Linked DNA regions of Nothobranchius furzeri. The protein of the gene in region 1 purifies or fractionates together with the protein of each later gene. This does not show direct contact. Links are inferred from orthologs where the notes say so. Each region holds a gene or a part of one and is shown in the gene's direction. Other genes may lie near its edges.

Region 1 (3,514 bases):
TAGTAGTATATATGTGCAGTAGTATATAGTAGTATATATGTGCAGTAGTATATAGTAGTTTATTTGTGCAGTAGTATATAGTAGTACATATGTGCAGGAGTATATAGCAGTTTATTTGTGCAGTAGTATATAGTAGTACATATGTGCAGTAGTATATAGTAGTATATATGTGCAGCAGTATATAGTAGTATACATGTGCAGTAGTATATAGTAGTTTATATGTGCAGCAGTATATAGTAGTATACATGTGCAGTAGTATATAGTAGTATATATGTGTAATAGTATATAGTAGTATATATGTGCAGTAGTATATAGTAGTATATATGTGCAGTAGTATATAGTAGTTTATTTGTGCAGTAGTATATAGTAGTATATATGTGCAGTAGTATATAGTAGTATAAATGTGCAGCAGTATATAGTAGTATATATGTGTAATAGTATATAGTAGTATATATTTGCAGTAGTATATAGTAGTTTATTTGTGCAGTAGTATATAGTAGTATATATGTGCAGCAGTATATAGTAGTATACATGTGCAGTAGTATATAGTAGTATATATGTGTAATAGTATATAGTAGTATATATGTGCAGTAGTATATAGTAGTTTATTTGTGCAGTAGTATATAGTAGTATATATGTGGAGTAGTATATAGTAGTATATATGTGCAGGGGGGAAGAAATCAGCTCAACAGAAAAACCGAAGGAAGCAACCAAAAGCAAAAAGAAGGCTGAAGCACTCCAAGTGACTAAATGTTTAATAGGTGCAAGCACAAAAATGCTGAGAAGATACAAGCAGGTGTTGAGACGTTAGTCCTTTTTTGTGCTTGCACCTATTAAACATTTAGTCACTTTGAGTGCTCCAGCCTTCATTTTGCTTTTTTCATGCCATTGTTCTTTGCTGTGGAGCACCAACTGGTGACTGGATTATGAGCAATGGATCTCAGAAGTGATTCCTTCTGTCTGATGTTTGTTTGTTTGTTTAACCCTGTTCTTCTTAGTTTACCAGACAGCAATGCTCCTTTAACAGCTTTAATTGCTGATTGCAGTAATATAAAAGTCAGCGACTGGAGCTCAGCATCAGCTGTTTAGATTCACATTAAATCTTTAAATTTCTTGTTTGATCTGGAAGTTACCTCGAAGATAATAACTTGTGTGAAAAACAAATGGAAAACTCCCAGTTTGACCCAAATACAGAAAATTTGGGTTGACGGATGCATTTTTATTGTTCTAAGTGTTGAAATCAGCAGTACTGAGTATTTTTGTACACAACCCCCCACTGCCTGATGTGTGGAGTCAGGCTAAGCATCATCTCCTCCGATTCTTTCTCATTTTTATACAGATAATGAGAGGAAAAGACCAGATGTGTTCAGCGCTCTCAAACTGGGTGAGTTCTCATGAACTGGTGGAAACTATAAGAAAATAACCAGTGAGAAAGACAGCAGCATGTTCTGTAATTACTCAGGAAATTCACAGCTGGTCAAAGACATCCTGGAGGAGGATCCTGCTCAGGTGAATTCATCCAATCAGGAAGGAGCGTCTCCTCTCATGATGGCGGCGGTGAGCGGTCAAATAGAGGTGGTGCAGCTGATGGTGGAGAAGAATGCAGACATAGATAAACAAGATGGTGTTCATGGGTGGACCGCATTAATGCAAGCCACTTATCATGGGTAGGTGGAGGCTTTGTTTGCTGTTTATAGAAGCAACCTTAGGATGTAAAGACATCTGACGCTTTAATGCTTACTGTTGTCTTCCTCCTGCCTTCCCCAGCAATAAAGAAATTGTCAAGTACCTGTTGAGTCAAGGCGCTGATGTCAGCCTGCGAGCTAAGAATGGATACACAGCCTTTGATCTGGTCATGCTGCTCAATGACCCGGGTAGGTTTTCTTATTAAAGCTTTACTGATAAAACTGTGTGGGAACAAATATTATTTCTGTTTTTCACTTCAGTTCAAACTATTTGGAATTTTGTATTTTCATCACATTTAGCTTATTTAAGTACCATTTTATTTGTACAGCAGAGCACTTTCAGGCACAACAGGTGGGTTGTGCAAAATGCTGAACAGTAGCGAAAGCAGGATGACACATCAAACAATTAAAAGTTCCTTATAAAAACCACAAGGAGCCTAACACACACACACACACACACACACACACACACACACACACACACACGCGCACACAATCTTCATCTTCATTCCTTTTATGAGAATTCATGTGTTGCAAACAACGCAACATAATTCAATTCAAATTCAAAAATATTTTATTAATCCCAGAGGGAAATTTGTTGATAAAAATTACTAGAATATTTTATACTTTTTAAAATAAGTTTTGTATGTTAAATGTTCTTTAAAATGCATTCTATTCTTTTTTTAAGTATTTGTTCTGCTGTAATTTATATGGTATGTTGGAACTTTCTTACCCTCACCTATGGTCATGAGCTTTGGGTAGTGACCGAAAGAACGAGATCGCGGATACAAGCGGCCGAAATGGTTTTTCTCTGCAGAGTGGCTGGGCTCTCCCTTAGAGATAGGGTGAGAAGCTTGGTCATCCGGGAGGGGCTCGGAGTAGATTCACTGCTCCTCCACATAGAGAGGAGCCAGTTAAGGTGGCTCGGGCATCTGGTCAGGATGCCTCCTGGACGCCTCCCTGGTGAGGTTTTCTGGGCACGTCCAACTGGGAGGAGGCTTAAAGGTAGACCCAGGACACGTTGGAGGGACTATGTCTCTCACCTGGCCAGGGAACACCTTGGGATTCCCCTGGAGGAGCTGGCCAAGTGCCTGGGAAGAGGGAAGTCTGGGCCTCTCTGCTTAGGCTGCAGTCCCCGTGACCCGACTCTGGATAAGCGGAAGAGGATGGATGGATGGATGGATGGATGTTAGAATGTTGGAAAACAGTCATTTTGACATAAGTAAAGATTATATTCTGATGAACACTCAACGGCCACTTTATTGGGTATACATGTCGAATTGCTCGTTAACGCAAATTACTAATCAGCCAATCACATGGTGGCAACACGATGCATTTAGGCATGTTGATATGGTCAAGACGATCCGCTGCAGTTCAAACCAAGCTTCAGAATGGGGAACAAAAGAGATTTAAGTGACTTTGAACATTGCACGGTTGCTGGTGCCAGACAGGCTGGTCTGAGTTTTTCAGATACTGCTGATCTGGGACGGGTTTGAGCTGGTAGAAAGACAACAGTACCTCAAATAACCACTCGTTACATCCAAGGTATGCAGAAGAGCATCTCTGAAGGCACAACACGTGGAACCTTGAGGCAGATGGGCTAGATCAACAGAAGACCACTCCGGGGGCCACTCCTGTCAACTAAGAACAGGAAACTGAGGCTACGATTCTCACAGGCTCACCAAGATTAGACAATAGAAGATTGGAAACATGTCTCCTGGTCTGATGAGTCTCAATTCTGCTGCGACATCCTGATGGTAGGGTCAGAATTTGGCGTCAACAACATGAAAGCATGGATCCATCCTGCCTTGTATCAATGGTCCAGGCTG
Region 2 (3,992 bases), on another chromosome or scaffold:
TGTATGTCTTGGGTTAGACATTTACCCCAAAACATGACAGAAAAATACCGCGAATCGGTGAAAATACCGCGAATCGGCGAATTTCCCTTGAATAAGGATCCAAAGAAAAAATCCGCGAAGTGGTGAATCCGCAATAAACGAACCGCGAAGTAGCGAGGGATTACTGTATTTCTCTTTTCTTGTCTCTAAGTCAATGCAAAGTGTTTGAATAAAATTCCCTGTGGTAAAAACAACCTCTTCTGATTCTAAGGTAAGATTAATCTCTGGACCTTAATAAAAGTGTAAGAATATACCAACTATATTCCGCTACAGTAGAATAATCTAGAACAGGTTTGAACAGTGTGGGTGTTGCAGTTTTTGAGCTAGAGCAGATTAAAGATGGTCAGAGTAGAGAAAAATTGGGTGTAATGGCCCCTTAGCCGTTTGCCAAATCGGAAGCTGGAATTGGAAGCTAACTTCAGCCTCGTTGCAATTAGCCAGCCCAGCAACACTGTATCCAAATTTATGGGCTCCATCAATTGAAGGATTCTGGTCAATAGAGAGCTGTTGGTACTAGACACCGGGTCCTTCGTTGACCGAGATATGTCGTAAAGTTTTACTTTAATAAAATGTATTAAATTCATCATTGCAAAGTTCCACAGCATTCTGCATTGAATTCATGAGCCATATGTGTTTTGGTCCATCAAGGTGTTACGAGGTGGTTGATCTAAGGATGTCCAGAACCAGGAATGTTGGACAAAGGTTTTTTTTAATTTGTTTTTGTTTCTTCAAACAACTTCAATTAAATAAATATGATAAAAGCTTTTATTAAAAGTTACTCAGGAGTAATCAAATTTGTATTCTGAGAGCTACTTCACTGAAGCTTTAACAACGAATAAACTATTCACATTTCACTTCACATTTTCATGTAGAACTGTTAAACTGTAGAAGCTTGAATCTGCGGTGTCCAAGTCTGCAGCCTTGAATCTGCAGTTAGTCTTGAATCTGCAGTTGCAGTTTCACGTTTGTCCTTTAGAAGGCGCTGTCTCAAAAACAGTACAAGCATCTGCAGTCGGCATTCGATGAACTGGCTCATCTCGATAAAACTCGCGGTACTTGAGGAGTTCCCGCGGGAGTGCTGTGGTGTTTACATTATTGGATCAGCAGTGTGCTGAGAGGGGGGCCTTCTGCTGGAGTCTGTCTGAAAACACTTCTCTACTGACTCCACAGCACAGGCGCTCTCCGAGAAAAAACTTCGTAGTGTACAGGCAAAGCGCCACGCAGTAAGGAGGCCTGTTCAGTCCACTTTTTGTCGCGACCTTGGAAAGAAAATAAAAGACAACAACAACACCGCCTTGACCATCGGAGGAGTTGTTTTAAAGGTGAAAGAGGAATAGCTTTGCAACAGATTCCCACTTCCTGGTAAGTACCGAGACAGCACTAACTGACAGCGGACTTAAACAAAACTGTAGCTAACTTATCTCTTCCATCTTCCTATAAATAGTTTGTGTTTAACTTGTTGGAGAACTAACAGCCACATAAAACCAGTAATTGTGACTAGTTTTAGCTCAACTTGAGTTGGTACTCAAACTAACTTGTACGAAGTCTTGCTAACTAGCTTTCCCTGTTCTCAGCTAGCATGTGGCTTTGCTAACTTGAACTACCATAAGTGGCACAAACAACTTTGACAGTCAGCGTTAATAAACACATTTATGAGTGTTCTGGAGAACATTTACTTAACCTGACTTTCGGAACACAAGATTCGTGTAGCTAACACGTGATGGGAAGTTTTACAGCGATTACTTACTGTCATGCTTCACGGACGTCACACCTAATAATTTAAAACCACATCGGTATGTAGATTTCTGCTTTCATATCTATTTTACTCCTTATTAGGATAATCTGTTAAATTCAAACTATTACTCAGAATATCATCAAACTTTCAAACATTACATAGCATGTCTGTGTCCCTTAAAGTATGCTGCATAGTTCTAGAACAAGTTTTTTTATTCGTGGTTTTTAGTGGTTGAAACTTACAATACTGGCTTACTGTCTATGTGTATATACATATGCGTTTGTTATTTATTTATTTTCTTCAAATTATCCTCCTAAGTGTTGGTGCTGCTGGAACAAGTACATTTCCCCACTGTGGGACCAATAAAGTCTATTCTATTTTCTATTCTATACCACATCAATGTCTTTGTTTTTAAATTACACATTTTAAGTTGAACATTTTTTTTAATGTGTTAATCAGACAAGTGGATAATTTTTGTTCTTCCATTATTATGTCATTATCAAATGAATCCATCAGTAATTTTATATTATCAACTAAGTGAATGTCTTGAAGTAAAAACTAAGGGTAGACAGATATATCAGTTGGGCCGATGAATCGGTCCGATAACAGTTTTTTACATATCGGCATCAGCCAATATTTGTTAAAGCTGATTTAAAGTCAGGTGCATTCTCAGGCAGCCCAATTCTGTTGCAGAATTTGATTTAAATTTTGAGTTCACTAATAACATCTATATAATAAATACTCTAAATTAACTTTAGGTGTCTGACTTTAACACTGAGCAGTGTACAAAGTTAAGATTTAACAGTTGGTTAAATGCAAAGTTCAAAAACTGATTCAGCTTCAGAAATTTTGTTTATCACCTGATGTTATTAATGACAATTTATCATGAAAATACAGTCGAAAATGTCTGAATGTAGGCCATGAAAATCGGCAGTACATATCGGCTGACCATGTCTCCTACATATCGGTATCAGCAATAGAAAAAACAATTTCCGTCGATCTCTAGTAAAAACATTGTCCTTTTTAAGGTGGAAAACCTATTGTTCTGCTGCAGCTAACCTAGAGTCCTGCTCTCGATGTATCTGAATTTTGTTTTTGTTCACAGTTTTAATGGAACAATTAATCAGTGACAACGTCATAGTCGTTTCTGACACAACTAATGCAGCGTATCATATTGGGCATCAGGAGGTTGAGCAGGTTGTCCAGTAATCGGAAGGTTGTAGGTTCAATTCCGGCTCTGTTGTGTCCTTGGGCAAGACACTTAACCCACTTTGCCTGTTGGTGGTGTTCGAAGGGACCGGTGTCGCCTGTGCTGTGAAGCCTTGCCTCTGTCATTGTGCCCCAGGGCAGCTGTAGCTACATCGTAGCTCATCACCATCATTGTGTGAATGGATGAGTGATATACTGTAGTGTAAAAACGCTTTGAAGTCCCTTGAATCTGAAAGGCGCTTTACAAGCGCAGGTCACTTTTCATTTATCATCTCTTGTTTTTGCCTAATGAAAGAGTGCTGAATGGATTCTGCCACCAGACTGAGCCAATTAACTCTAACCTCATGATAGCTCAATTAAGAGTTAGTACTTTTATTAATTGAAATATTAACTTGTGTGTGTTTACAAATATCACATAGCAATCAGTCTTGAGGTTACTTGTTTGTTGAAAGCTGAATCCAGTAAAATGTTGCTGTCATTGCCCATCACAGCTGAATTACACGTCGTACCTACACATAACAGAAGGATGATCCACATAAAAGTTAGTGGGAGTTGACAAACCTTGTTGACCCAATTATTACTCGCCTCTCTGTTGCCACATCCGATCATCATCAGATGATGCTGGAGTCTGCCAGCATCATCAGGTGATTGAGATGAACACTGGCTGGCTCTAATAAGTTGAAAATCAAAGACATGACGGCCACATGAACAAAAGTTTGCATCAGTCTCTGTGGTGACGGATTTCTGCCAGTAGGTCTCCCTTTGATTTCCTGTTAATGGGAGGAGGATTATTCATGACAGGCTCTGGCTCAGTTAAATTATTTACTTTTGTTCTGTTGTTTGGATAAAAACAGGTGTAAATAGATGAGGGAGGATCAGTTATAGTTGGTCTGGAAAGATTAAAAAATTGGGTATTTAACTATTTTAACAGAAGCAAAACCGACAATAGCATCAAGTTACAAAGGAAAATGTATCTTTTAAAAGTGCAGATTGGAGCTCAGACTGGAAT

Evidence for each region.
Region 2: the proteins of ankyrin repeat and SAM domain-containing protein 6 (region 1) and nek7 purify together in Homo sapiens (affinity purification with mass spectrometry; 3 studies listed by BioGRID and IntAct, with this or other methods). This does not show direct contact. The link is inferred for Nothobranchius furzeri from reciprocal best matches to the Homo sapiens genes ANKS6 and NEK7.

What each region holds. Positions count from the first base shown.
Region 1 is NC_091747.1:36,736,541-36,740,054, reverse strand, and holds part of ankyrin repeat and SAM domain-containing protein 6, read left to right. Parts: intron 1-1,339; coding exon 1,340-1,384; intron 1,385-1,462; coding exon 1,463-1,667; intron 1,668-1,767; coding exon 1,768-1,874; intron 1,875-3,514.
Region 2 is NC_091748.1:66,087,403-66,091,394, reverse strand, and holds the start of nek7 (serine/threonine-protein kinase Nek7), read left to right. Parts: upstream 1-1,178; 5' UTR 1,179-1,401; intron 1,402-3,992. UniProt on the Homo sapiens protein: Protein kinase which plays an important role in mitotic cell cycle progression. Required for microtubule nucleation activity of the centrosome, robust mitotic spindle formation and cytokinesis.